4 linked regions of the Drosophila melanogaster genome follow. Changing the gene in region 4 together with the main gene of any one other region gives a genetic interaction. Each region holds a gene or a part of one and is shown on either strand. Other genes may lie near its edges. The genes, in order: SREBP, Marf, ND-42 and Pdha.

Region 1 (9,002 bases), on a different chromosome or scaffold from region 4:
CAAAAGCTACAGCTCATATCCGTCCGCGTTAGAGGTGACCAAGTGCATCACATCCTGGCGATTAGGCAACTCAACGCTCTGGACTGTGATAACTGGCCAGCTCAATCGGTGTCCCAGTTGGGCCAGTTGAAAGATCTCGAGTGCCTGGCCCTGGATTGCATTGACTCACCTGCAAACCCAAGTCGCCAACTTATGTTGCTAGTACAAAATTGCTATAACCTAAATCATCTGAGATTGGGAAAACATTGGAAGATGCCTATCGAGGATGTAAATCAATTTTTGGACAATGTGGCTGATGCAGGAGCGGATCGGAAAGACCGGCTTTTGCTAACGCTCGATTTCATTAAGACACCGGATACTCGGAAAAAGGTATAATTTAATGGATACACAATTATTTGGAACAACCAAAATTTACCAAAAACCCTTCAGTTCACAGATAAGTTCAGGAATGATAAACACTTGCAAGTGAGTTTTGATGGAGCCACATGTCATCACTGTCAGCGGGATACCTACTCTAAGTGTGATACTATCTTTGACTAGTTTTACTTTAGCAAAAGACTCACCTCACAGTGCGACCTTTCGATGGCAACAGTCAGTCTAAGAGTCCAATCGTTGTAGGGGATTCCCTTCCCCTCGAACTCATCCTCCTTTATTTTGTAATCATAAACATCTTGATCGGAACGATTGGCCCATCTGTGCCAGTCCATGATTATTAATGGCATTGGATGAACCGTTTCCAGACGAAAATCAAACGCCGGGTGCCAAAAAATACAAGTGGCATGCGAGTCCGCGAAGAACTGCTGAGCTAACTATATTTTTTAAAAGGTTGTCCATGCTGAACAAAAGGACAACATACCAAAAAAACTAAGCACAGTGCTAAAGTAATATGACTCTACCAGCAAGTTTTCCATTTCACAGATTTTTTCCCTTGAAGTGTGCCTGAGGAATTTATATTATTTTCTGTGTGTATTATTATTATACATATACATTCTGTTTTTGTATATATATATATAGTGCTTGGTAGCTCACCCTGTGATGCACCCGACTAACAAAACTCCGCCGACGCAAAATGACCGACGCGAATGGAAGAATATTTCATTTTATATAAGGAAAAAGATTGCATACGCTACTAATACGTTTTCCATGAATTATGTACATATTTAACAAATTAGGAGCATGCACCGGTAACCAATAAAAGGCCTTGTAAATCTGTTAAAATATTTATTGTTATAAATACGTTTAACAAGTACGGTAAATAATAAACAAATAAAATGTCCATATTAAATAATTTTAAAATTACAATCTAAGCATAACCGGGCGTGGAAAACAGAGGAATAGCGTAATTATAAAGACCTAGGCATTTGTAATTCTTTTGAATAGCAAACGGGTATTCATTTGCTGAAAATCCACACCACGTTCGTGCCACTTATTATGTACTTCACTACTATCCTAAGCCTTCACGCTGCCAATGCCGTTGCCCAGCGACTTCATCAGCTGGTAGCACTCCTTGAGCTTTCGCTTGTCGCCCACCTTCTCCAGGGTCTTGGCCGCCTCGGCTAACATGCCAGCACGTTCACCCGGGGAGCTGAGCAGCGCAGGCGGGAGATACTTGCAGGCCACGTACATGGCCGAAGCCCGTTCCCGCTCTCCGCCCACGAAGTTCTGCTGCCGCCGATCCTTGCTGCCGCAGAAGATGGACGAGTGGGCGTTGCGTGATCGCAGACTCCTGTCCAAGAGCTGTTGCGTTGGACACGGTGAGGCTCCAGCCATCAGGCGACAAACTGCCTCGTACAAATATATGCGCGATTGGGCGTTCTGTAATGGCAAAAGTTTACACAAGCTCAGGTTACGGAACAGACATATTGGAAGGGTAAGGATTTGCATATACCGGTATATTCTCCACAATGTTGCGCAACGAGTTCAAATCGGTCTGGAACTTCTCGAGCACTTCACCTGGCACTTGGTAGAAGCCATCGTCCTCCATATTCATGTGTTCCAGTTCCCACAGAGCAGTCCTAGTTTCGAGCAGCCAATCGCAGGTAAGCAACTGGAAAAGCTGCATAGAAGAAATAATGATTAGTGCGCTCTTAAAACTTGGCGACTTTTGCCAGAGACATTCGGCGTTGTATGTGAAATGCACAGAGCTTGCACTGAAGTTGTATTGCCTGAAGCAATTGGGACAGACAATGCGACTACAATGCACCTTCGTGTCATCTCCAGAGGAAGAGTCTGGTGGCACTCAGTCGCCAAAAACTGATTGTTCGGGGTGCACACATTCTTACCAGCTTTATACCCTTGGCGTCGGTGATCCGGTTGACAGTCAAGCACTCTTGGAGCTCCACACTCGACTCATCGCAGAGGATGTTTACCAATTGCTTGAGACTTTTGTCCAGTGCGTTGCCATTGTTTCTGCAAAGGTGTGCGATGATTAGTTTTGTTCTTTTCATTAGTTGTTCTAGTTTTACTCACTTTAGTAAGATCATCTTAGCTCGCAGCACAGCATGCAGCGCCTTGGGCAGATGATCGTTTTCGCCGCACTGTTGCAGCTGCGTGGGCATTTGCTTGATCCTGCCGTACAATTGCTCGGCCAGCGTGTCTTCACCAAGGAGCCAGTGCACTGCGGTCTCCAAAACATCGGCCCACCACACCACGTTTGTATCCCGCTCATCCTCATCAGCCCAGAGAGTGTCCTTAAGGAGGGACGTGTACTTAAGAACATTGCTGACAATGGTGCCGCTGTGCTGCTGTTGCTGCAACTGTTCCGCCTCTCCGCTGACAGAAGATGTGGGCAGGCCTCCCGATTTGTGGCCCGCTCCTACCAGACACTGAATGGCTTTAAACAGCAAATGCTCTCGATATTGCTGATTATTGGAAAAGAAACAATTAGTTTTGAATTGTGTGCGATACACTAGAAATTCAGTCCAACTTACCTTAATGACGTGGGCAGCGGGATCACATGGATTCCTAAGACGTGTGAAGAATCCATCCTGCTCGCCGGAGTCGCTCAGATCGTACGTGAAGACGTGCGTGGCGCAGTAGCGATATCCATAGGCTGTGAATGCCCAACGTAGCTCCTGCGTTTGCTCGGTGGCCCTAGTGAGACCGCACTCTTGACGAGCCCGGCTCATGTAGTATCGGGCGAAGAGCTGTTGCAACCATTTTGGGGCACTGCGCTTCATTCGCAACGCTGTCATTACGTGGATGCAGATGGTCTCGCGCGGTGTCAGTAGATTGTGCGCCACTTCAGCCATGTTGCTTGCGAATAGTGCCATCATAATGCCGTTCATGTCACCGCGGCTTCCATTTCCAGTCAGTTGCAATTGATTCAGTCGGTTGAAGAGCAGGGCCAGTTCGCGTGCAGATGCCAGCGCCTGTTTCCTGCTGGCGGCGTTGCTAAACAGCCCACCGGACCGCCGTGACAGCACCCGACCCAGCCAGAGGCGATGGAAAAGAAAACGAAGGAACTGCCACGTGGTCTGCAAGTAACACTCCAAGCGCGACGCCGGTAGACTTAATCCAAACATATGCAGACAGTTGAGGTAACCGGCGTAGGCCTGAGACGACTGTCCTTGGCTAAAATAGAAGTCAGCCCGCTGCCTGTGCTGGCAGTAGGCGTCCGTTTGCGCGTCCAGCTGCGGATCACCGTAAACCAGCAATTTCACCAAGCATCCAAGCATCAGTGTGAAGTTCAATAGCCATATCCAGGAACTCTGCTGCCAGACAGCAAAACCTTCACCTAAATCAAGGAGAAACCCATTAGCAATATTTAACAACATCTGGATGCTAGGCTAGCTACCTTCCACGTCGTAAGAGAGAATGCGTCTTTGACCGCTCATGTCGCCAAGATCGTCATTACTGTCATAGTGGCCGCGCTGGAGAAAGGTCTTGAAGGGATTGACGGCCAGGATGGCGAACATAAACATGCAGAGTCCGAGGCGAGAGTGGGTGGCCATGCCGCGCATAGAGCTGGGCACCACCAGTGGTTCTTCATTGCTGCTGCTGCTGCCACTGCTACAGCTGGCGGTGGATCCACCATAGGGTGATGGCGGCAACGAGATGTCCGAGTGCATGGGCGAGAGCGAAGGATCCGATTCATCGCTGCGTGGCGGCGTCAGTCCGGCATCCGTGGTAAAGGTCTGCGAGCTCTCGCGGCGCTTCTTGGATGCTCTACCAGGCCGAGTGCCCAGCTGAAGTAAATCCTTCACCTTGGAGCCGTCGCGTGCCATTAGCTCCCTCTGCAGGCGCTGCAACTCTGCCTTCAGATCGTGATTCTGGCGTTGCAGATCCCGAATCTTGTCTATGGATTTCCGCAACACTGCGGACTTGTTCAGCTTGGCCTGCTCTCCCACTACCAAGTTCTTCAACTCGTTAATCTTGTCGTTGATTGAGGTGCGATAGCGCCGCTCGATGGCGTTGTGGGCCGAGCGCTTTACTTCCTTCACCTTGGGTTGAACCCGGTTGATAGGTACCTTGCCCTGGACTTCCATAGCGGCAGGTGACGGAGCCAGTGGTGCCACTCGCACCTTGCTGGCCCGACTACCTGTGCTTGTCGGTGGTGGAGCCACAGGTGGAGATGGGGTTGGACTGGCTACCGTGGGCTGCAAGAGGAAGTACATGGCTTCATCGGAAGTCATTCCGGCCTTAGAGTTGTACGTAATGAAGGGTTGCGGATACGACTGCTGGGGCAAAGGAGCAGAAGCGGGAGCAGGAGTTGCAGCAACGGGCTGCATGACATTGACATTCTGGTTCGCAGACTCCACCGGCGACGTGGGCGGGGACATGGACTGGTAGACAAAGCTACTGCCCAGAGATGGGGGATACACCGCCGTGTTCGGCGGCATCCGCTGGGCGTCCATGTGATGTATGGTGGCTGTTGGTTGGGCGGCCTTCAAAAGGCCCGTCGGCTGTTGCTGGGGACAATTGTAGCTTGTGGCTATGAGGGGATCTGGTTTGTAGACGAGAAGCGGCGACTGTTGTTGCTGCTGATGCAGTTCCTCCTTGATGTGCACTGGCGAAGAGTGCTCGCTTTTCACGTGCGGCTGTTGCTCGACGGATTGCGGCTGCTGATCCACGGACTGCGTCTGCTGGGTATGCGTTCGAGGCTCGTCCAGCAGCATGTTGTACATCTGCGTCGGCGCCAGGTCCATGTCGTTGAGGATGATGTCCAGCATGTCCGAGTGCAGGTCGGCGTCGAACGGTTCGAAGACATCCTCCGCTTTGAACAAATCCATGGACTCGTCCAGCGGAGCGTCTATTAAGTTCATCAGTGTCGTGTCCATTGCGAATGCTGCTGATGAAAGGGACAAAAACGGTTCGTAATTAAATACTGGCGGGCCCACGTATGTGCATATTTATGTATGTATGTTTGTACATTTGAGGATTGTTTATTAAAGTTCTATGCGGCGCAATAACAACAGTGGGACAAGTATGTTGGTGCCGGAAAAAACAAATATTAATATGTTTATAATCACATTAATTCATTTAATTACCCTTTTTCCACAGTGGCCACTTGCAGCTTTAATAACAGATTAAAAGGGGTTTTTATAATTAAATTTGTAATATACGTAACAAAGTTAAAATAAATCTTTTAATTGTACTCAAACCTAAAGTGAATCACAGTCGGACCTGAAAATGGCATATGTGTTAACTTGTTTTTGTTTGTTTGTTGTTTGCTCGTAGTTAAAATAGGAACAAAATATAATATCTTGAGATCATTTTGGCTATATCAAGTTTTGCTAGACTAATGCAAATTGCAATAGAGGCGAATATTTTTAAACGGTCTAAGCTTTTACTTCGCTTTTGGCCCACTGTGCACTGCACACACACATACGCGACCGGGAAAGCATGCGTAAGCGCTTTCAACCAATCAGAGGGCTCGACCGGATCATACGATGTTTTTAGTGACGCCACTTGGCCTTTGGGAGCTCCAACAGGGCATTTTCCCAGGCTCCACTGGTTTCCCGATCTGATTTCCGCGAAAATTAATCTATTAGACACTATCTACATTATTAGCAGAAAAAGAAACGCACCTTTACCACCTTCTATCTGTTTTCTTAGTTCACGTGTGCTTTTGTTTTTCCATAACTGGTTAATGTCAACGCACTTTGCTTTAAACTAGCGACTAGTTAGTAATAGTTGCAACACTTGTTGTTCATGGTTGTTTTGATTTTTTTCACGAGTATATTTGCAGCTTAATAAACAATTGCTTTCGATTGCAGTAAACTTTGTTCTTCAGGGATGACGAGCAGTAGTTCGGGCCTAAGGAACTGGTTCAGGTCTTGACTCCCTGGCATCAAGAAACAGCTGTATTACTTACAATGCCTGTATAGAAATATATATATTTAATAGTTTATGATGTATTTTATAAAACTGCCATAAAATATCAACGCTGATTCTGACACGCAGAGTAAGGAAATAAATTCAACATGTATAAGTGTAATTTAAAATATGCGGTTGTCCTCGCTGAGCGTGGTGGATGTCACCGCTACCTACATTCAAGAGAATAATTAAGAGAGCGCCAGAGCCGTGTGACCGCGCTAGAATTACTTAAAAATACCAAGGAATGTTGAAGACAAAAAGTTCCGGTAAATTGGCACAACGCACTGGCCACACTGCTACATCACATATTCAAAATCGGGTAGGTAGTCGCGACGGAAAACGGGAAACGCGGACGAATCGCGGAGCCAGAGAAGCGGTAAATTCGAAATAACCGTTTGGAAAGAGCAACATGATGAGGTTCTTTATTCGTTTTTAGTAAAATGGTACAAAGTGAATATGTGATTTAATTGATAACCAGCATGGGCGCCGTCAGTGTTAATTGCGTTCTGAATTGCTCTTTCGAAAACGCAGACACAAATGCACACACACAAAGTAGCGGCACCCACACGATCGCAATGGCAAAAGTGCTGCAGTGATAAAACAAATGCACAGCCATAAAGGCAAAGTCGGAAAAGTTTCACAATGCACTGGCGGCCCATGCATAAAAATGTACAATTTGGCGCTCTTTGCACTTGTCACGTCGTTGGAAAAGCAAAAAAACCTACCAACCAACAACAATAGGAACATAAACTGAAACAAAAAGAAAACCATTTTTGCTTCGCGCTTTTGTTTTTGTTTGGACCGCCGCTCACGCACTTTCGCGCTCACACGCAGAAACTTTTTGCATTTGTTTTCTTCACCCGTTGCATTATCACAACAACTGATCTCCTCTGCCCTCTCTCTGATGCTCTTGCTCACACTTGTTCGCTCTGTCTCGCCAGGGTTGCCATTTTCGACCGACAAACTTGCACTTGCTACTATGAATAACCTTTAAAACGGTTTTATTTTGGCACAATCTTAGGATTTATTTACGATTTTTGCGATTTACCGCATTTGCTGTCTGCAACAGTTTACATTTTTGTTTACCTTTACGGTCGCCAATTGGAAATACTAACTGCAAATTTGGTTGCCTTAAGTGTAGGTGTATTGTTTTCAATATAGACGAAGCTTATTTATATCAAATGCCTATTATTTAAATTAAACTGAAAACATTCAACCAACGGTCATCAGGAAAAGTATCTTAAGAGGACTATTTCACTACTAAATCCTATTTTTTATATTTCTACTTCACCTTAGCTTATCAAAATCTTTATAAATCCGATTGTATGTATGATGCAGCATAATTTTATTATTCTCGGTAATATATGGATATGCTTCAAATCCAAATATACAGACTTTATTTATTCAATAAATTAGTTTAACCTAATGTTAAACTAAATATAAAATAACTAAAATTAGTTTAACCTAATGTTAAACTAAATATATTACCGAACGCTGTGATTATGACTCTGTTATTTACCAACTGTCTTGCAACTTGGAAATATTCCTGTATTAATCATTTCCTATTTTCCTTGATACAAAAGAGCCTTTATTTCACTGCAATATTGAGTCATCCAACAAGCTGTTGTTGTAGATTTGGTCCGATTTTTCTATTTCTTCTTCTGACTGTTCTCATACTCTCTGTGCTTCTGTTTCTCCGGCTTTCTGCATAAATTACATTTTCCGTTTGGACTTTGCCAGTTTTGCTAGTGTTAGCACCTCCTTGGCGAAAAGTTTCCAACGGAAATTGTCAGCAGAAAATGAAAAACTCCCATGTAAATACTCCGCAAACGCACACACGCACGAGCTCAGCGGAATACACACCAATACACACGCACACACTAGCAGCGGCAGCGCTTAATAAAGATTAACGCATTTCTTATCAAGCGGTGATAGCGGGCAAAGAAGATGGAGAGAGCCGAAGCGAGACAGAGCACTAGCACTGCGACAGCATTTGAGCTTCGCTTTTCGCACACCCGATAGAGCGGCATAGAGTGGGAAAGGGATGGAGACAGAAGGAGACAGTGATATCTTTTCTCTGCCTGATTAGCAGTAGCAGCGTCTAGTTTTTCTCGTGTTATTTATTTGTTTTCTGCTCTCCGCCGCCGCTCCCGTTGCCTCTCCCTCACAGCAGCCGCCTTCGAACGCCGACGCTGCCTGCTTTATTTTCGCGCCGCTGCTGATAAAATAAAGAACAATATTAATTTAAGTTTAAAAATAGAATTCGCTGCAGATGCCCATTGCATGAATGTGTGCGAGCGGGAGAACGAGAGAACTGATTTCGCTCTCCCGCTCTCTTACAGCACACACATGTTGATCCGCAGCGGCAGCGTCAATTACTGTTCTCATATCATCTCCGAGAGCACGGAAATCAGTGATGGCAAGTGAGAGGAGCAAATCTTTGGCGGATAGCAAAAACCGCTAAGTGTGTGGCAGTCAACGCTACTTTTCTTAGTATAGTACTTAGTTATACCTTTTATCGTGCAATTTTTAAATGAGGACTATGTTTTTCCAAAATGTATCTGCTCAATATAATTTGACTATTTATCTTTTAATCCATTTAAACCTAGTTTTAAAAATTTTAAAAAAGTGTTGATAATATATCTTGATGGATATCTTTCGGATATCCTACACTGAGCGAAACT
Region 2 (8,954 bases), 1.7 Mb from region 4:
ACCCTTTTAATCATTTACATATATGTTTACCCCACTGCCCCTAATGTACACAGATCATCGACGAGGAGGTGTTGTGCGTGCACGGTGGCCTGAGTCCCGAGATCATTACACTGGACCAGATCAGGACGATCGATCGCAACGGCGAGATACCGTACAAGGGTGCCTTCTGCGATCTGGTGTGGTCCGATCCCGAGGACATGGAGTACTGGGGCCAGAGTCCGCGCGGCGCTGGCTGGCTGTTTGGCCACAATGTGACCAAGGACTTTATGGCGATCAATAATCTGAACCTCATATGCCGAGCACATCAGCTGGTCAACGAGGGCATCAAGTATATGTTTGATGGCAAACTGGTGACCGTGTGGTCGGCGCCAAACTATTGCTATCGCTGCGGCAACGTTGCCGCCATTCTTAGCTTCGAAACGGCGGAGAAGCGGCAGACGAAGATCTTCCTGGCTGTTCCGGATGCGGAGCGTGTGATACCCAAGCAGAACACAACGCCCTACTTCCTGTAAAACGTTCTGATGTGATGCGATGTGAAGTGATGCAACGCAATACTATACCACATACCATACCACATACCGATCCAATACGATCCGCCCACTGTTCCGGCATCGTGGCTAATAATCATATACGCTTGTGGAGAGCAGAGCGGAGTGCAGCCTTCGACTGACTGATCCGTTTCATTTGACCACCCATGAACTCAACGCCTTAAACTCAAAACGTGCGCAACGAGCACCCCAAGCATAGCAAACACTCAGAACAGCAAACACAAGCCACACACACCACACACACACCTGTAACTTGTAATTTTCGTCTCTTTTTTTGTATGGCAAAAACACATATCTAATTCTTAAGAGCACAGTTAAAAAAAAACTTTGTTATTAGTTTCCGGCAAGTCCAAAGAGAGGGGAACACGTGAATTGATTTCTTTAAGTTGTATATCCAAGTATTGTATTTACTGATAACGGATGCTAATGGAAGCAAGAAGTATATAGAGATTCACTTTGTTATTTTGTATTCCAAACCTACATATTTATTTCTGTGAACAAACACAAAAATCATATACTTTGTACATTTTGTATTAGTAATGCTTTGAAGGAAATAAGAATAACTAAGAATAACCCAATTGTGTGATCCCGATCAAAACGATATGATTAAAACAAAAAAGACAATTCGAAATGCGTTGTCCGGTAATCAGTGGGAAAAACCAGGTGTCCCTTATTCCGCTCCCAAAATGTCCATCATCCGTCTCTGTCGTTTTCGCGACACGGCTCCGATATTCAAAGTTCCACTGAAATAATTTCGATTATGAGTTTCTTACATAAATATCATTTATTTCGTTTCGTTTTCGTTCATGAATCATTCTCATTCTCATGCTTTGCAACATCTCAACAATTGTGTTTTCATATATATTGGTTTGCTTTGCCCCAACATTTATTCTAGCGTCCCAACTCAAAAACAAATATGTATAAGTACTAGACTTTCTATTAGGGGCGAAAAAGAGGTAAATAAGTGAGTGACTTTCGCATTCTGGGGTCGGTCATCATCATGTGGCATTCATAATTCCTCGCAACTTGCTTTTCCATGGCACCTGGCCATGCTCACAGTGTTTTGGATACTTCTCTATTTGTATATATATATACGCGTGCGTTTCCGGGTCAACAATTACAAAAAAAAGAAAACTAAATAATCACACTAGCAGAGTAGTGCATGTTAGGAATTAAAAGAATTCTCAACAACAACAACGATTTGTTTAAACGATAGAGAATAAAGAGGTTCCAATCGATTGGCTCATATCATGCATTTTCTTACAAAAAAAATAAAATAAAAGAGGAGAGAAAAACTGAGAGTTGAGCAGCAAATACGTGGTGCATTAATGTTGTTGTAGTCGTTTGGGTGTTTGTCTTCGCCTGATTTCTATGATCATCCACATTCTGGTTAGTGTTTTGCCCCACGGTCAGCCAACCCACTACTGTTCCACTACTGCGGCGATATATAGTTGTGCTCGAAGATGTCCAGCTCGTTCTGTATGTAGTTGGCCTTGTTGCGAAGCAGCTTCAATTGCTTCTGGTTCGCCTCCAGGATGTTCAGCTGCGAGTCCAGCGTCTTGAGCTCATCATTCATGTCCGTGGTGGCGGTATCAACCGTGCGGCACAAACGGGCAAAGGTGCTCGACAATTCCCTGTTGAGATGTGACAGAGAATATTCGATAAGTGATCAGCGATTCAGACGCTAAGGGATCAATACTCACTGCTGCACTTGGTGGCTGCAGTTGGCCGAGGTGAGGTCGACAATCATCTTGAGCTTCTTGGTGGCATGGCGCACGTACTGCGACTTGAACGTTCGCTCCTTGGCTGAATTTGTCCACGAGAGGCGCTCGTACAGGTAGATGCAGCCGTAGAGGGCACCCACGCCCACCAGGACACGCCAGCCGATAGTTTTCAGCATCTGCAAGTGGTTTGATTTCATCACATAGCTATGCACTATCACCTGCTTGGTCGTTGGTAAGGACAAGAGGTGTTATGATAATTTAACCGTTAACACTTACGACACCGGCTACGACGAGACCACCAACGGTGCCCTGCGATCCAATGGAGGACACCGCGAAGCGTGAGATCAACGACAGCTGCTCGGGCGTAATGCCAGCCACAACGGGAGCGGGCAGCAGGCACACAGGAGTGGCTTCCACGGGCGTCGTGGTCGGCGTCGATACGCTGTGCTGTGAACGAGATTCGATGGCAGAGATATAGTAAAGGTGGTGCAACACAACTATACTGTAGAAACTCACTCCAATACTGCTCTGTCGATTGACCAGCGCCGGCTGGCCCTTCTTGCTGCGCTCGCGCACCTTGCCGGTGAAGCGCTGGATCATCGCCGCAATGCCCCAGCTGAACTTAAACTCCAGATCCTCCTGGAAGTCGGCGCAGAGGTTCTGGCAATTCAGTGAGTAGAGCATCTCGAAGGGCTGCGTGCGCACCACCATCTTGGTGCTGGTGGCCAGGAGCTGCTCGTTGGGCACCAGGGCGTGCATGCGATCGGTCATCTCCGTCTGGGCGGACTCGACGTTCATGGCCAGGGCCATGGATAGGCGGGCGCGCAGATTGCTGCCCAGGCCGCTCTCCACATGGGCATTCAATTCCTTTTTGTAGATGTTCAGCACCAAACGCTCCGGATGGAAGGGCATATTGAACTCGTCAATGAGTACGCCCAGGCGCCAGATCTCCTCGTTCAGCGCCTTTGACACCTTCTCCTCCACCTCCTCGACCATGTTGTGGATCTTCATCTTCATTTCCCGCGTAACCTGCATCATCTGCGTCTCTGTGCCCTGGATGCGTTCGGTGAGCAGGTTCTTCTGGTCCTGCTTCAGATTGCGGAATATGGTGATCCGCTCGTAAATGTTGTCCAACATTGATTTCATGTCACCCGAAACACTCTTGCCGCGCGAACTGTGCTGCTGGAACTTTGTTTTCACAGCACTCTGCGAGATGCACTCCTCGAACTTGCGCTCGAAGTCCTGGAACTCGAAGTAGCGTATCTGAAAGCCCTCGGCAATGGCACCCATGTGCGGCGGATTGCCCTTGGCCTCCTCGATGCGCGCCTGCAGCGTTTCCCTGGCGGAAACGAAGAATACCCTTTCGGCCGCCTCCTTCTCGTTGCTCACCTTTAGCTCCTTGGTGAGGAAGTCGATGCAGCGTTCCGTGTGCTGAGACTTAACCTATCAATTGATGAAATAAGCGTCTTAGAAAGTGCATAGATCAATCAATCAGGGCAACTAAGTAAGCTGCTTTGGGAAGAGTCAACAAGGAGGTGTTCATCGGTTCAATTCGATAAAGAGACCAAAGCAGAGTGGATTGGGTTTTTGTGGGACCAAGCAAGCGGGTCTAGCTCATTCATTACCTTAGCCAATTCCTGGCGTTGATTACAGTGGATAGTTGGTTGGTTGTTTGATAGATTGATTGGTTGGTTGGGTAATAAACAAAAACAAAAGACACACATCAACATAGAGAGACAACAGGCATACGAAGAGGTCCAAGAAATTACTTATGAGATGTGGCAGTGCAAAACTGCTGGCAAACGAACATATGTACACATATGTGGCATATGGTTCGCCTGCCATGTAATGGTAATGCAGGGTCTGACAGAGATTGTGGACTAACTAAAGGGGCCGCCTAGAAGATCATACCGATTCCTGGCACTCGGGCTCGTTGGCCGACGCATCCCAGCGATTGTTCAGGATGAAGATGTTCGGCTTGCTTAGCTTCTGCGAGACGGTGTGAAAGAACTGCTTCTCCGCACGCGTCATCGTTGACTCGGCATTCAGGACCAGCACAAAGACATCGGCGTTCAGGCAATGGTTATCGATCCAGTCGTCCAAATTGGCCGACACATCCACACCAGGTGAGTCCACAAAGACGACATCGTCGCGCAGCAGGCTGCAGCGTTCCCTCGGCCAAAAGATGCGCACCAAACTGCTCTCGCAGAGCTTCTCCTGGCACAAGGCATTCGCCAGTTGTTTGATGTTCTGCAAACAAGGGTCACTAGGTCATTAGGCGAAACACATTTCCCAGAGGAGAGCTGAGTAGCCCACTTACCACCACATTTAGCTTCTCCTCGGAGCCCTCTGTCATAAGATACGCCTCGCCGCCATTGCTGCCCTCCACTTGGCAGAAGCAATTCGTGGTGTGCCCAATGCCGCTGGGCAGGATCTTCTCGCGCAACATGGCATTAATCACCGAGCTCTTGCCGTTGGAGGTGCGTCCAAAGAAGGCCACCTTCATGTGATCCCGCTGCAGTACTTCGCGAATGGCCGCCACCTTGTACACATAGCTTTCGAACAGCTCCCGTTCCGCCTTGTCCACGATCTCCGCTTCCGCGTGCAGGGCTGAAAGAGCAACGAACATTGGTTTAACTGGGTATTTCGCCAAAGGCAATAGATGTTAGATAAGAATCAAAATTTCACCATTTCCCTTGTAAAACGATGAACTGAATCATAATCGTTCTTATCGAATACCATGCAACATAGAGGTTCAAGGATTGGCTTCTGTTGGGTATTTTAAAAATATAATACATAACTCACCGTTGATAAAGGTGGTCGTCTCATGGACATACTCCTCGATCTCGCCGTAGATATCGTTGATCTTCTTTTTGGCGCGCACAAAGATCTGGAGCGGTGATTTGTCGTTGGATTGATAGAGCCGCGATTCCGGTAGCAGATTGGCGGCCATTGTGGAGCCGGATTGTTGCAGCGATGAGTTGAACCGGGATAGCGGGGAACCGGGTCCGGATTTGTCCACCGTGTCCGTGGAGGAGGCGTGACGGTCGTCGTCGGCGGGGCCCGTTTGCCCGGTCACCATCGAGATGGTGCGGTTCAAGTAGGCCGCCATTTCGGGATCCGGTTTATGGTTGATTCGGTTTAGCAGATGGTTTTTTGGTAGAAGAAGAGAATTGCGATACAAAACAAAAGGTATGCAGCCCAGGGGATTTGGTTGTTCAGACTTCCAACTTCTGCAACTTCGCCGCCAACCCGAAACTCAAAACTTAACTATCTCTGTTTATTGTGTGTTATATTGCTTTTGGGGGTATTTGCTCAAAAATCAACGTCATAAAACTGAAACGAAATTAAATGAAAAATTATGACACGAAAGAAAAAACAAAACGATTGAATACAGTGCGCACCAGATAAGCTCAACTTGAGTGGTTTAAGTGTTAAACAAAATGTGCGCTACAAAATCAAGCATGTGTTTGCTAAGTATATCTTAGAGAGAACATAAACTATTGATTTGTTGTTCGCTATGTCGAGAGTGCACTGTATTTGGCGAAAAGGAAAATACCGCAACGCAAATTGCACGCACACACACACACGTGGTCCAATTGCGCTGCAAACAAATATAGGCGAAAAAAGTATAATAATCTAATGTTTTTGGTTTTTCTTTTTTCTGACAATTTACATCTGTGTGCGTAAATCGAGTTGATAAAGTTTAATCTGCCCTCTCGCTCTATCAACTAACCTGATTAATGCCACTCTCGCTCATATTTGTATTTGTTTTATTTTATATTTGTATTTATTTTCCTCTCCGGTTGTTCGATTCTTTTAATTGCTGCCCCTCAGCTGATGCGTTTTCAAATGGCAAATTGTGGAAAGCGTGGTTCGAACTTCCAATAACCGTACATTGCCGACTAGAATCCAGTTGCAGAGAAGCAATTTCACGAAATTTAGTTAATATTATTAATTTTTTTTAAATGCACATGATGTAACGTTAAGGTGACCAACTCATGTTGTTCGCTGACATCCGGCGTTAGTGCATTTTTATGCCTTCCCATGTCTAGTATATTTTTATGCCAGTCGAAAGCTTAATATGGTATTTTTTCAATTCGCTGCCATATTTAATTGAAATTAATTTTTTTCAATTACTACCACCTAGCTTATTTTTATTTTTATTGTCTAATTTAAATTTTGTCTAATTTAAAAATAGAATTTACCCTGACAATGATTTTCACTGATTGGAAATGGTCACACTAGCCAGTTTCCAGTTAGCCAGAATGTAACGGCGCCTTTCCCGCTCCAATTGGAATCCGCGTGTAATTTTGTGTCTCGTGTTAATTGTATTATTTCCCCCGCTTTTCGGATTTCCGCATAAAAAGCGATGAGTCTACAGGACGAGAGTTTTCCGACGGACGAGCTGTTTGACCAGCTGAACAATTTGAGTAGCAGTGGCGCCAGGAATACCTGGTTCGCGGAGCACCATAAGCCCGCAGTCTTCGAGCGGGATACAGCGCCATTTTTGGAGATCTGCTACGCGGATCCAGACTTTGATGCGGATGGGGATGTGGCCAACAAGAGCGCCAAGACATGCGTAAGCGATCCCGTGGGTCGTGATCAGGAGGATGAGGACGACTATGATGAGGATGTCGATGGTAAGAAGTGTTCGCTCTCTCTCTACACTTGCTTAACTACAATGGGAGAAATATTCCCATCAAACATATCTCATATATGTATAATTTTGGTACTTCCATGTCTCGATGTATAATGGGTACTTCATTCAATGGGCACAGTCAATTAGCTAGTGCTAACATGTATCCTTTCTTATTCAACCAGGCGATGATCATAAACTGGGTTGCGAGAAGGCTCCATTGGGCAGCGGGCGCTCCAGCAAGGCGGTCTCTTACCAGGACATCCATTCGGCCTACACGAAGCGCCGCTTCCAGCACGTGACCAGCAAGGTGGGCCAGTACATAGCGGAGATCCAGGCGCAGGACCAAAAGAGACGCAATGTGAAGTTCGCCGGATTCCAGCGAGTGAACTCTATGCCGGAGAGTCTAACGCCCACATTGCAGCAGGTGTATGTCCATGATGGTGACTTCAAGGTGGACAAAAACTGCCAGACTCACTCCAACTCCGATTCGAATTACAATTCCAATTCAAACAACTCTAGCAGCAGCTTTGATCGATTGCTGGCCGAGAACGAGAGCCTGCAGCAAAAGATCAACTCATTGAGAGTAGAAGCGAAGCGTCTGCAGGGCTTCAACGAGTATGTCCAGGAACGACTGGACAGAAAGACAGATGATTTTGTGAAGATGAAGTGCAATTTCGAGACCCTGCGCACCGAGCTAAGCGAATGCCAGCAGAAGCTTAGGCGCCAGCAGGACAACTCACAGCACCACTTCATGTACCACATTCGATCGGCGACCAGTGCCAAGGCCACTCAAACGGATTTCCTGGTGGACACCATACCCGCCTCCGGAAACGTCCTGGTCACACCCCATCCCCTGGGCGACCTGACCTACAACAGCAGCAAAGGATCCATCGAGTTGGCACTGCTCAGTGTGGCGCCTTCTGCCCGAGTGGCCCAGAATCCCGTCCAGGTCCAACGCGCGATTCATCCACAATCTTTGGACTTTAGCAGCGTTAGCACCGAAGCTGATGGCAGCGGTAGTGGTAAGCAATCGCAATGCTATTTTATTAGATCTGTAGATTATTTCGAATAAGATTGACTAACATGGATTTTTGTTGGTTTCTATTCAAGGCGAACATCGTGTGGAAACCTCATCCAGGGCCTTGGTCAGAAGAACCCCGGCGCCCAACAACTCGGAAACCAGCCAGCCGAGCAGCAACGACTCGGCCATCGAGGTGGAGGCGCACGAGGAGGAGCGACCCAGCTCCAGGCGGCAGTGGGAACAACAGGGGGAGCTCATCTCGCCCAGGCAATGGGGCCAGCATGAGGGCATGTACTACTTTGACAAGCGCAACAACCGAGTCATCGAGGTGATGGGCTTCAATATCAGTCAGGGGCGCAATCAGAGCCATGACACCATTCATAATCAGAGCATCAACGATAGTCAGACGCGTCTGCTGGTCCACTCGATGTCGATGTCGCATTTGGAGGCGCATGACCACTTTAGGAGTAAAAGGACGACACTGGGCAGTCGGATGCTACGATTCCTGGGGCCCTGCGTTCGCTGCCGTAATGGTGATCCATTGAACCGCAGCAATGTCACATACAAGGATGGTTTGCCTGCGATGCCCGAGGAGGAGTTCGTTGACCAAAGGAACCAGCGCTAGTCCAGCCTTCCACCATCCACTTTTATTTATTTATTGTATGTATTATCATATCCTGTTATTTTATGTCGCGTTATGTCGATTCAATTAGTCCAAATTTTTAATGCCATAGCATTCAGTTAACCAATATGTGCATGTATAACCAAATTTGAAATTCGTTAGTAACTTTCCTCCAAAGGAAAATAATCTTTTTGGCGAATTGTGTAGTGAAACGTATTATTTATTTCTATCCAAGCAAATTTGTACTTGTTTTAATAAAAAAATTTTGCACACTTGCATTTATATCCGATTTGTTCGGGTTGATATATCATGTATTGAAATCATGTGAATCCCATGCAGATTCAGTTACATTGACAGTGGCTGCTTTGCGACTTCGGCCACACTGGCAGTTTCAATT
Region 3 (5,677 bases), on a different chromosome or scaffold from region 4:
TGGTCCATTGAGCAGCGATGGTTGTCGGTACTCCTGCCCCTGCTCCTTTTGTACGACAGTAGGTGTTTCACCCGGATTAGTTAGCGCGTATAGACTAATGATCTTCTACGCACAGATCCCTTCTTCCCGCTGATATTCCTGATGAACTCCTGGCTGCCTGGAATGCTGGACGCCATTCTGCAAGCGACGTTCCTTTGTGCTCTACTCATGTTTTGGCTGTGCATCTACCATGGACTGCGACAGAACGAGCGCAGCTTCGTGCGATTTTACCTGGTCAAGGTGATCGTCGTCCTGCCCATTTGGCTGTGCGCCATCGTTTTGGCCACGTGGGAGAAATGCAACGAGCTGAGGGATCCCACATACAGTCACTTTGTGGATACGAAAAACTACAATGTGGGTATACATAATACGTACTAATGAAATGTGATACGAAAACCAAACCATTCTTAGGGCTTCAAGATGTTCTTCTACATCGCCTGCTGCATGTATGTGCTCTATCTGGTGCTGTTGCTACTGCGGGCGTACACCGAGCTGCGCTCCATGCCGTACTTTGGTGAGACATAATGCAGTGTGCTCCAAGCCTGATCTTATTATTATAATGCTTAATCCATTTGGCCAGATATGCGCTTGAAGTTTCTCACGCTGCTCATGCTGTTCGTCCTGTCCATATCCATCACGGTGACGACGTGTCGCTTTGGCTTCGGCATCCTGGAGGATAACTTTGTCGCCTCACTTAACACCACCTATCGCAGTTCGGCGCAGTTTATGTGCTTCTACGGACTGCTTAACTTTTACCTGTACACCATGGCGTATGTGTACTCGCCAGATGGACGGTTCGCCCAGGCGGAGCTGGCTGTCACCAAGGATAATCCGGCTATTTCCATGATCGACGATTCCGACGAGGATGTTGTCTACGGTTCCGACGAGGAGTCACGGCGACCGCTCACCTCTGTGGGCGGCGGTGCTGGAAAGAACGATTACGACAGCGATTGATCGGCGATTAAGAAGTATCCGCGGCAGAACGAATACCCAAATGTTCCATAGCGCAATTGAAGTTTTAGTGCTAAATGTGTACAAAGTATTCCCTAATATAATGCATAAATTAACTTAAAATTTCAAAAAATTAATCTCTGGTTGATCAATGAAACTGGAGAGGATCGAAATATGTTTGGGTATTCATGATTAAGCTGAATTCGAAATTTATGTTAAAAAAAAAGTATAAATAAACCCAATAGTTCGAGTTTTGTTGTATGAAAAGTATTTACAATCGATATTTACCATATTCGCTTTTTAACTAATTGGGTTCTGATTATTTTACTAGACTGTTTATTAGATAATTAACACATTTCGCCAGGTGATTTCAACTCGAAAGCATAGCAAAAACCCTCTAGATGCCCTGGTTGATGCCTATTTTCGTCTTGGTGAGGAGACCCTCGTCGCCCATGTCTGCATTGTAGCCAGGACGGTACTTCATGCCGGGAGCCTGTGTGCAAAGGGGCAGAATTAATGTGAAAAGAAATCGAACAGGGAAATGGAAACACCGAACTTACATTGAACCAGACATCACGCCAGACTTTGCCGTCGTCAGCGCTGCGCACCAGCTCCGGGACATCGAAACGCGGCACATTGAAGTAATTCATCAGATCGGGCTTCTCATGGCAGTACTTGATACGGGCTTCGCACCACTCGGCCTCCAGCGGGAAACGCCAGTCGAGCATCTTCTTGTTGTGAATATCGGCCTCAAACTGGTTGAAGTCGATGCGTTCGATATCCTCCACCACAACCTCAGTCTCACCGCCGGCTGTCCAGTCGTAGATGAGCAGCTCGGCATGGGTGGAGATGTCCTTGAGGTACTGCTGCTTGTACAGCTGCTCCAAATCGCTCAAGTAGGCATCGCTGAACACCTTTGACTGCACCTCGTAGTCCACATTGCGTGCCTTGATCTGCTTCTTCACGGCATCGACCGGCAGATCCAAGTAGATAACCAAATGCGGCTTCAGCAGCTCCCCGATGGTGTTCTGTCGGAGCTCATTATACACGGAACGCGCACCGCGTGACAGATAACCCTGCCGAAACATGGCCTCCATGAAGACAAAGTCCGAGTAGGGGCTGCGCTCGAGGACAACACCCTGGCCGGTGCTAAGGACGTGCTGCAGGGCATCAATGTACTGCGAATAGCGCAGCATGTACATGCGAATCTGGAACTGGGCAGCCAGATCGTGGCTGGGATCCAGGCAGAAGTTGCGCACATCGTAGCTTCGGCAGCTGGGCGGCAACTGAGGATCCAACTTCCTCATGTCATAGCCGTACGAATTGATGTAGATTAGGTCCAGATCAACTGCCGGATAGTACTCCATGTCCAGCTCCTCAGCCAGTTCCTTGGCGAACTTTGACTTGCCGGCCGCGATGGGTCCCTCCACACAGATCACCTTGGAGTTCTCGTCAAAACGCTTGGAGGTCTTGTCGAAAATAGCATTGAACACGCTGTACTTCTTCGTCTTGTACGGATAGGGGGCGGCCTTGGGCACCCGTGGTCCACCTCGCATCGTCTTGCCGGAGATGCTGCATCGCTGCTGGAAGGCAGCAGGCAGGGCATTCGTCTGCGCCTGGAGTAGATTGGGCGACTGTGTGGCGCGGCTGACGAGCCGCACCAGTCCTACGCGGAACACGGCGGTCATTCTGAAGGGAAAACAAGGGTCAGTACAAAAACGAAACAAGATAATAACAATTATATCTCGTCCAGTGGCAATTTGTCGTGTGGTTACATCACAGGAGCTACGCAGGTAGTGCGGTAATCTCTGCCCTAGAACTGCAGATATGCGGATCTTTTCGTTGCATTCTGCTGGCCAGCATTGCGGCGCTCCATAGATTTACCCAAATTGTCGGTTTTAATGCTCTATCCGGTGGTATTTACTCACTTTTCAATCTAAATATCGGAAGTCTACCCAAAAACAAATTTCGGGCTATGGTTGGTGTTGGAAAACTCCCCGAATAGGGCTGTCAAGGTATCCGTTCAAATATCAAAAATGTAAAATCAAAATGTTTGTCTATGCTTTAACTGCGACTTTTCTCAGAATCAGAAAGAATTTCATATGAAATGAAATTTAACCCAGTATTTTAAAAACTTTATATAACACTTACAAAATAACATTTTAATGTATAAATGTATTTGTTTTACTTTTTAAAAATATCGCAAAGCGACTGCTCAACACTACACAGCACAGCTGGGGTGTTTAACTACAAGTTAATTTACTTGAAATAAATTCAACAATGCTTTTCATTTGTAGACAGACACACACCATAAACTCACATTGCCGTGCGGTGCGAGTTGATTTTTTAAATTTTTAACTTAACATATTGTCACGGTGCAGAAACAACTGGTCCACTTTCCGTTGGTCTGGCAGCCCTGACCACAACCTCGCTGCATTTTGGGCTCAAAAGTTCTAACGATGAACTAACGAAAATATAAATCAAAATTTAAGGCGAAAGGCTCCAGGAGAAGATCGACAAATATCGAGAGTTGTGACCATTAGGATCGAGTAAGTCCTGGCGTTGGGGCCCAGCACTGGGAGTGTAACCCACTCCTTACAGTTACGCAACTGAGAACTAATGCGATTTTCCTCGTGACACAGATTTTGTTATTAACCAATCCCCAGCAGAAATGGGCAATACAGCCATCACCCGAGTGCAAATGGAGGCCACGAAGAGTGTGCCGGTGGACCACGCCAAGTACATGAGCGGCAGTGGTGCCCCGCCACCAGAATGCCCCATGCATCAGAAGCATGGAGATGCAAAATCGGCCTCCGCCGTACCCCCACATCCCAAGATGCAGGCCGCTTCCGAATGTCCGGTGCAGCACGACAACAGCGACGTTAATCCGCTGAATATGATGCCACCGGCAAACCAACAGCCGGCGGCAGATCAGCCCTTTCCACTGCCCACCGACCGCCAGACGTCGACCATTCCCAAAGTCACCGAGGATGGCAGCGTTCAATTCTGGCAGTATCCCAGCCAACAGATGTTCTGGAACGCCATGCTACGCAAGGGCTGGCGCTGGAAGACCGAGGACGTATCGCAAAAGGACATGGGCGACATCATACGCATCCACAATGCCAACAACGAGCAGGCCTGGCAGGAGGTACTTAAGTGGGAGGCGCTTCACGCCAAGGAATGCGGCAATCCGCGCCTCAAGAGTTTCGGTGGCAAGGCCAAGGACTTCAGTCCGCGCGCTCGATTCCGCAGCTGGCTGGGGTGAGTATACTCCAGACGGAAGATCTCACCTGAATTAATGTTCGAATTGTCTTACAGATACGAGCTGCCATTCGATAGGCATGACTGGATAGTCGATCGCTGCGGCAAGGATGTGCGCTACGTCATCGACTACTACGACGGTGGACTGGTGGACAAAGACTACCGCTTTGCCCTGCTGGATGTGCGCCCAGCCATGGACTCCGTGGACAACGTTTGGGACAGAATGCGCGTAGCTTACATGCGCTGGAAGTACGAGCTGTTTGAGAAGTTTGGCAGCGCGGATGGCGGCAAAGTGACCGCTGGTAGCGACTAGATGGAATGCATATTTAGATGATCGCTATAGGTACAAAATCGGCTTAAGTTATCGAATGGATGGAAGAGGGAGTTTGGTTAAATGCGTTTAAGACGCTGCGAAGCGAAACGATGTTGAGCCCTCTCTTTAAATAAATGTTGAATCTTGACTTCTGAACACCAAAATTCGAATGTGGTTTTGCTTTTTATTTTATTCTTTACTTAAATCCTTTTAAGGATTTCGAATTATCCAGTAACGAGTTGATAGCATTGTGGAGGAATATATTAATTAAAGTTTTTTTTTATTGATATACTTATGTATATGCAGAATTCTCATCTGTTCAAAATGCCTGTAAAAATTTTTTTTCTTAATCTTTAGTTTTATATTTTATTTATATGCTCTTTAAAATGATTGCGAAATTATAAAAATACGTTTACTACTTTTTTATCATTACTACAAATTTAAAAAATGTATAGTAAATAGAATATAACTTTAGACGTTTCTTAACTTTTTTAACATACATTTTCTGATAAAAAGTTGATATGCAACCCATAACATTATATGTATGTTTATATGTATGATGCTTTTCTAACACCTGCGGCTTCAGGGGGTTAATGTCTGGCAGTGTTGAAAAGCGCGTGTAAATTCTTTAACTGATTGCTGGTGCCCTCATTACGTGAGATTCGAGTTTGGCCACTGGAGCGTTAATTGGATAGCCGCGATAGATTCGTTCGACGTAAATCAGTCATAAATGCAAGCTGCCAGAATGAGGTTCGTTCAATACCTGCGAAAAGGTGACTTGGCCAAGCGACTTGGTCTACTGTCCGAGGATCAAAAGTCGCTGGTGGAATTTGCCGGCTTGGAGGGTGTGCCCAGCGATCTAAAGATCCTGATTGCCCAGGATCCCAATCTGGAGGAACTGGCGAAGAAGGCCGAAAAGCAGCCGCGACTCGAGGTGAATGATGATGTCACTTTGCTGCCGCCTCTTACCGATCCCGGCAAGATCATCTGCATTGGTAAAGAATGAATTAACATACATATGTATAAACATATGTAGTTGGACCCTGACCTTCAAAATGACGTATTCTCGATCTGCTTGCAGGTCTGAACTACCAGGACCACTGCGATGAGCAG
Region 4 (6,799 bases):
CATTGCCGCCATAAAACTTATCGCTGTACATGTGCATAGAGCCACCTTTGCCCCGGCTGCATCCAGTTCGAACTCCGAACAATTCCGCCATTATTTCGTAAAGGGAAACACCCATTAAATAGGTCCAGGCATGACAACGGTATGCCGTTATGACCGAGTCGCAGGACCTCAAACGCTGCTTCATGCCAACAGCGACGGCCTCCTGTCCGTTATATAAATGGCAGAAGCCGCGGATTTTTCGCTCCTTATAGTAGTTGCCCGCCACCGTCTCGAACCGGCGCAGTTCCAGCATCTGCGTGTACATCGTCAGGGCGTCCTCCCTGGACAGCTCCACGTCCATTGTGGGTCCATTCTCCAGGTCGTAGCACTTGAACGTCTGCAACGGGCATAACAAAATCATTAAAGTAACCCATTTCGGAATGCTGCTCTAGTAGGAACGCAAGAAGAATCTATGTGTTGTGCAGCACTGAAAAATATCAGCAGCTTATGTCTATATTCAGTGTTGGTCTACGCGATGAGCAGATTAAGTCGTTTCTATGTTAGATTTATATCAGCTATACTTAACAGCAAATATTTAAACATTTTTCAGAGTACATAATTTAATTCAAAATGAAAAATATAACTTTTACGATATAGCTTTTTTCAATGGTATTTACTTATCCATTGACCTTCTTGTGATAATCAAAACACTTACGTTCTCCAGGGTCAAACAGCTACATTTGTGGCGCCCTATTATCCTGCAGAGCATATTTCTCTCGAGGATGGAGTGGGCTCCACTGCATCTCATCGCCACGCGGACACAACTGAACTTCATCATTGGCCCTTGCCCGAATACCAATTCCCAAACACCGGGGCACTAAAATGAGCTTGTAGCCAAATGGGCAATTGCCACGCACTAAAATTTTGAATATGATCGGAAATTGTTGAAAAATGGATTTGTACTCAACCGAAAAGAAATCGACAGTAAAATCATAAGCAAATCGACAGAGATGGCAACTGTCACTAAACAGAACGAGAAGGAAATATAACGATTTTGGGATTGCTTATGGAGCTGACAACTGCTCCTTTTCAAATACTACTTTGATTCGAACTGTAATTCTTCCACAAATCGAATTATCTATTAAATCTATTCCGTTTATTAATATCTTATAAATCTATCAAAATTCTATAGTGCAAGTATAGGTGAAACAGACTGAGATTTTCACATTTCAAAAGTACATACTTGATTCACTTTTGTTAAGAAAACTAATTTGGATTAATTTTTCTAGATTTTTATATTTTCAACAATTTACACCTCGCTTTATCCTTATTGAACACGTTCGCAATATAATATCCAATGCAGTACCCCAGAGTTATGTGGTGCGCTACGATGTGTGGTTGGAGTGCTCCGATTAGCTAAGCTTTTTGTGGGTCTCTTCGGATCCGTTCCGTTCTACGGGGTTCTCATCGTTCAACTTTCGGCTTATGATCTAGAGATTTCGCTTGTGTCCAAGTTTCTGAGTTATTGTGTCTTCTTGTCTGTCTGTCAGTGATTTGTGTTTGCTGTTCGGTTTTCTTGTTTCGTTTAAGGTTCTTGTGAGTTCCCGAATCAGATTCGTTGGCCCGATGACTTAGTGATTGACGCCCTTGCGCTCCTGGATGTGATCAATATCGTAGGCGATGGTGCCGCGCAGCTTGGGCTCCAGATTGTTGGAGTACACGTCCGTCCAGAGGTGGCTCACGCCCAGCTCGGCATCGGACTTGGCGAAGGCGGTGGCCTCGTCGACCTCCTTGCGTACCTTCAGATCGATGGCCTGGAAGATGTTTTTTTCTTTTAGCAATCATAACTCATAACAAAAATAAAACCCTATAAGCCAAACCCACCTTAACTTCATCGGTGGTAATCAGACCCAGCTCGATGCACAGCTCCTTGAAGGAGGTGATGGGATCACGCTTCTGGCGCACCTCCTGGATCTCCTCGCGTGTGCGGTACGATGTGCCCGGATCGGACATGGAGTGTCCAGAGTATCGGTACGTGTTCGTCTCCATCACCAAAGGTCCGTGAGTGTTCACATAGTTGATGGCGAACTCGGTGGCGCTGCGCACGGCCAGCACATCCATGCCGTCCACCCAGATTCCGGGCAGAGCGTCGCCGCGGGTATAGTAATCAGTGTTGCAGGAAGCACGCTCAGAACTGGTGCCCATTCCTAATGGGTATAATTATACAACATTTGGTTTAAGTAAATATCTTTTAGCATTGTTCCACTTTCTACAGCACTCACCGTAGTTGTTGTTCTCGCAGACAAAGATCACAGGCAGTTTCCACAGGTAGGCCATGTTGTAAGCCTCGAACACCTGTCCTTGATTGGCGGCACCATCACCGTAGAGGGCCAGGCACATGCCGCCATTGCCCTTGTACTTGCAGGCCAAGCCAACGCCGGCACCCAAAGGAACTTGAGCACCCACGATGCCATTGCCTCCGTAGAAGTTCGGTGCGTACATGTGCATGGAGCCACCCTTGCCGCGGGCACAGCCACCCTGGACACCGGTGAGCTCAGCCAGTACGCCGCTGGGTGAGACGCCCATCAGGTAGGTCCATCCGTGGACACGGTACGCCGAGATGATGTTGTCCACATCCCGCATCGCCGCCTTCATGCCAACGGCGCATGCCTCCTGGCCGGAATACAGATGACAGAAGCCGCGAATGATCTTCTCCTTGTACAGATTACCGGCGGCCGTCTCCAACCGACGGATCGTCTGCATCTGTGTGTAGTACTTGAGGGCCTGATCCTTGGTCAGCTTCACTTCCGTGGCGGGTCCTTCGTCCAGGCGGTGCAGCTTGAAGGGCTGCAAAGTTGGAAAGCATATTTAGAATTTAGATCCCTAAACTTCATTAATTTTAAAAACGTTTTCTACTTTTACATTAACAACTGACACACACATCTGATAAGAACGTAACGGAAACGTTTGGAACGCATGATAAGTAATAAAATGATAGCAGTTTGATTGGATAAACCAAATAACCATAGGCTTCAAGCTTCTCTAATCAAAGTATACTAATCTATAGAGAGCTATAACCACATATCGAGGATTTTCGGAAGTATGCTCCAAAAACCAAATTTGGATTTATGGCGGCTAATTTATGGCGTGAGAATCGACGTAAACAGAGAGCCAGACAGACAGACGGAGAGAAAGAGAGAGAGGGTGAAAATCGGCGGATCGTTGATAAGACTATATGTTATATGGTGCGTGAACAGTCACGCGTCGGCCACGCAAAAGGCAGACGGTGATAAAGAGCGTGGGAGACGGAAAACTACAAATTACTGCGTGACCTTGTCATTTGAAAATGAGCGGATTGACCGGCAAAATGCAACCCTGCACTTACACACACACACACACACACGCAAACCGTTTGCTATCTGGCGAAAATCGCATTATGTAACCGTATTTTTTCCCTTCCGACTTTTGAATTTTCCTGAGTTACAAGTACTTAATGCTATAATACGCACCCGATTCACTTGAACGGTGGCCTCCGTGGCATAATTGTTGGTTTTCGAAACACCTGCTTGGGCTGCATTCTGGAATAAACCGAAAAACGACGATGAATATCTCCCATTCCTGATGATATCGATGCTGCTGTTGTTGTTGTTGTTGCTAAGTATCCGACATCCGCTGATGATGATGTTGTTGTTGTTGTTGTTATGGCAACGCTTTTAGTGTTTTCATTATCGAATGGATTTGTTCAATTGCATTTTTAGTGACAACAATTAGAAATGTTAGTGGGTGCAAAGCGGGATTGGGATTACGTACTTTTTGCAGTTGCTTAACAATAATGGGCAATTCGCTAACGCGTGACAGAGTACGCAACATTTTCGCTGTGTTATTCTCGTTCGACTGACAGAAATTGGATGTGAATGGGGGCTTTCTATATGCGGATTGTCCGGATCTAGAATCGCACGCTATATATCTGGTGTCTCAGTCGCACCGCCGCGCGTCGTTGTAAGTTAAACAATCGGAAAAAAAGGTAGCGAGATTAGTTTATCAACTACTATATTGCACAACTATAACAACCGTTTGGCGTTATAGCGAAAAATAACGCACCACTTGGCCTATTAGTGTGACCCTAAATAAAATACTGCAGCTTTCCCTGTTTTCAAAAAATACTAAATTAGCTTATCGAACTTTCTTTTTCAATATAACTTGAAATATAAATGTTTACGTAAAATATTCAATAAGCTTTTATATAATGTGTCACACAATGTTATATCAAAATAATAGTAGTGTTTGGCGGTTATTGAAATACTCGAATAAATACTTACTCAATCACATTTTATATTACTTTGCCGCCCAAATAAAACGAGGGTTTTCAAAGAAGTACTTTTATTTCACATTGAAGATCTCATTTGGTTTTTGTTTGCTTTCTCATTTCTTACTCGTATTGTTACTTGAAATTGCCTCCATAAATCCACATTTGCGATTGCAGTTGCAATTGCAATACTGCTCTATATCGCACTCAGCTCACATAATTCACTAATCTCTTACAAAAACTTAAGTAATGTTTGTTCCTTGCACAAAAAACCAGTTAAATAGAAATAGGTAAAGTAGAATTAAACAGTTAAATTCAAATAAACGCTTTACAAACTAAGATTTTAAACTAGTTTTTGTATTTGTTGGTTTCTCGGTTTGTTGTTTCATTTTTTTTTTTTTGCTTTAGAAATGGCAGCTAAAAGATTTGAGTTTAAAAGTTACTAACGGAAAATGAGGAAATGGATCGATCGTTTGGGAAAAACTAAGCGAATGAAATAAATTTTTTACTTTCTTTTATCTATCTTTTGCTCTGTTACCGTTACACATATTCAATTTTTCGCGCGTTTTTCTGTTACATCAAAAATTGGTTTCTCACACAAATATTTTGCATTATGACAAAAAATTATGCTTTGCTTTGTTTTTTGTTTTGTTTCATATGTATACATGTACATGTATATATATATATATTTGTATGTATAAACACTTATTAGAAGTCCTGTTGTGTTTTTGTTTCCTTTCCCGTTAGAAATCCGGCATTCCGATTATAAGAAAAAAATTTAGTTTTTCTCTTCGTCTTCTTGTTTTTGCGAGTGCTTGTGTGTGTGTAAGTGGGGGAGGTGTGTGTGTGTGTGGGTGAGAGAGAGAGAGGAGGTTCTATCTTACCGTTAGCATAAATAGTTTTGTGTCTACGCAAAAACGTGCTGAGCAATAATCTAAAACGCAATAGCTAAAGAGAGAGAGGTGCTGTATGTGTGTGAAAAGTAACGGTAAATGTGTGTGATTTCTGCATATGTCTTCTGTTGTTTTCAGGAAATTACGTATTAAGCTTCTTATTTTTTTTGGTTGTTTTTAGTAGGTTTTACTTAGGTTCTTGCTTAATTTACACCAATGTTTACTTTATTTTGTATTTCTTGCATGAATATATATATTTACTTTTTGGTTTCCTTGTTTCTTATTACTGTTCGCTTTCATTCCTTGAAATTTGCCTTTAAATTGTTACTGTTCTTCTGTTTTATATAACATAAATCCGATTCGGAGAAACACATAGCACACACTTATATAAACGACAAGATGATAATTATTTATTTTGTCTTTGCTTTTGCTTTCGACTTTCTCCGCCTTTTTGTTTTATTACTGCTTGCACACCACCCTCATGACCTCCCTAACCTGGTTTTGACCTAGAAAGTCTTAGTTTTAAAATTCATTAGAATAATCAAATAAATAATAATTACTATGTTATATCAACTATTATAATTCTCCCTATCTTTTTTAGGATTAAAAATCTGTTAGTCTTAAGTAACCAAGACACATTGTAAAATAAAATAATTTAAGCAGATCAAATTAAGTTGCCGCATGGGTAACAGTGCGTTGATCAAATAATAAAAACATCATCGATAAAAAAAAAAAAAAAAAAAAAAAAAAAACTGCTTGCAGTTTCTACAAAAATTTTTGTTGCATACTTTGCTGCTGTGGATGGACAATACATATACACATACACATAATATTTGATTTGCGTGTAATTTGTTGCTGCTATGGTTTTATTGCAATGGTTTCATGTTCTTGCTGGCTTGCCGTTGTTTGGCAAAATCCAGGCAAAGGAGTAAATAAAGGTTTAGAGGGGGCGGGGGGATGGCTTGGTTGGGAGGTGGGAAAAATCCATGTCCAAACACGCACCGATTTGGTTTGCTCGTAAGCAATGAATAATACATTGTTTAAGCACACAGAAAGAAATTAGCAATCACTTGTAATATCCTTTGCAAACAATCCAACAAAATTTGACAACCTTATTAACCTGTCATCCGATAGTTTGAATCATTTATAATAGCTATATTGCAAGATAAATTGTTATTTTGCAATATTTCATCATATAATATATTCAGAAAACATTTTCGGTACGAAAAACCTAACAAATGCAATTTTAAACTGCGTTTTTTTTTTTGACAATTTAAAAAACCGAAGTTATGGAATACCATTGTTTTTTTTTTTTTTGGGAAAAGCATGCCAATGAGATATTTTTCTCTGTGTACCCATTAGGTGTGCAGAGAGCGTCTGTGTGTGTGAGTGAGTATGGTGTGTATGCAAATTTCACATTATACTATTTTTTTTTATATACTTTCTGCTTGGTTTCCGATTACAAGTGTTGAGAGTTCAATACACATAAATAATCCATCCGACAGAAAAATATGTGAGTTTTCCTTACAATTTTGTTAAATATTAAGTTTTTCTTTTTATTTTACTCGTTCGGTTGTAGTGGTGGTTGTTGCCTGTGCTATGTGTCCGTGTGTGTGTGTGT

What was found.
Region 1: of Pdha (region 4) and SREBP, changing one suppresses a phenotype caused by changing the other (phenotypic suppression), as found in Drosophila melanogaster (one study listed by BioGRID).
Region 2: of Pdha (region 4) and Marf, changing one suppresses a phenotype caused by changing the other (phenotypic suppression), as found in Drosophila melanogaster (one study listed by BioGRID).
Region 3: of Pdha (region 4) and ND-42, changing one suppresses a phenotype caused by changing the other (phenotypic suppression), as found in Drosophila melanogaster (one study listed by BioGRID).

Annotation. Positions count from the first base shown.
Region 1 is NT_037436.4:19,791,187-19,800,188, reverse strand, and holds SREBP (sterol regulatory element binding protein), read right to left. Parts: upstream 6,255-9,002; 5' UTR 6,030-6,254; intron 5,966-6,029; exon of another isoform or gene 5,864-5,965; intron 5,626-5,863; 5' UTR 5,490-5,625; intron 5,291-5,489; exon of another isoform or gene 5,288-5,290; 5' UTR 5,280-5,287; coding exon 3,797-5,279; intron 3,737-3,796; coding exon 2,931-3,736; intron 2,862-2,930; coding exon 2,470-2,861; intron 2,410-2,469; coding exon 2,283-2,409; intron 2,229-2,282; exon of another isoform or gene 2,130-2,228; intron 2,057-2,129; coding exon 1,889-2,056; intron 1,816-1,888; coding exon 1,450-1,815; 3' UTR 1,210-1,449; downstream 1-1,209. Other genes in the region: CG14102 (uncharacterized protein), read left to right, coding at 1-369, 430-540; Ir76a (ionotropic receptor 76a), read right to left, coding at 564-805, 857-911.
Region 2 is NC_004354.4:6,363,287-6,372,240, reverse strand, and holds Marf (mitochondrial assembly regulatory factor), read right to left. Parts: upstream 6,293-8,954; 5' UTR 6,009-6,292; intron 5,609-6,008; 5' UTR 5,385-5,608; coding exon 5,078-5,384; intron 4,883-5,077; coding exon 4,593-4,882; intron 4,523-4,592; coding exon 4,184-4,522; intron 3,910-4,183; coding exon 3,898-3,909; intron 3,716-3,897; coding exon 2,789-3,715; intron 2,720-2,788; coding exon 2,549-2,719; intron 2,449-2,548; coding exon 2,252-2,448; intron 2,183-2,251; coding exon 1,981-2,182; 3' UTR 1,317-1,980; downstream 1-1,316. Other genes in the region: PpV (protein phosphatase V), read left to right, coding at 54-512; swa (swallow), read left to right, coding at 6,645-6,915, 7,097-7,936, 8,025-8,560. UniProt on the Drosophila melanogaster protein: Mitochondrial outer membrane GTPase that mediates mitochondrial clustering and fusion.
Region 3 is NT_033777.3:22,025,022-22,030,698, reverse strand, and holds ND-42 (NADH dehydrogenase (ubiquinone) 42 kDa subunit), read right to left. Parts: upstream 2,991-5,677; 5' UTR 2,679-2,990; coding exon 1,551-2,678; intron 1,484-1,550; coding exon 1,388-1,483; 3' UTR 1,306-1,387; downstream 1-1,305. Other genes in the region: CG13409 (uncharacterized protein), read left to right, coding at 1-58, 116-393, 451-553, 620-993; Cchl (cytochrome c heme lyase), read left to right, coding at 3,662-4,251, 4,309-4,564; CG6028 (uncharacterized protein), read left to right, coding at 5,295-5,559, 5,646-5,677. UniProt on the Drosophila melanogaster protein: Accessory subunit of the mitochondrial membrane respiratory chain NADH dehydrogenase (Complex I), that is believed not to be involved in catalysis. Complex I functions in the transfer of electrons from NADH to the respiratory chain.
Region 4 is NC_004354.4:4,699,582-4,706,380, reverse strand, and holds Pdha (pyruvate dehydrogenase E1 alpha subunit), read right to left. Parts: upstream 4,057-6,799; 5' UTR 3,850-4,056; coding exon 3,790-3,849; exon of another isoform or gene 3,690-3,789; coding exon 3,489-3,689; intron 2,827-3,488; coding exon 2,262-2,826; intron 2,187-2,261; coding exon 1,864-2,186; intron 1,794-1,863; coding exon 1,611-1,793; 3' UTR 1,116-1,610; downstream 1-1,115. Other genes in the region: CG7024 (uncharacterized protein), read right to left, coding at 1-376, 695-817.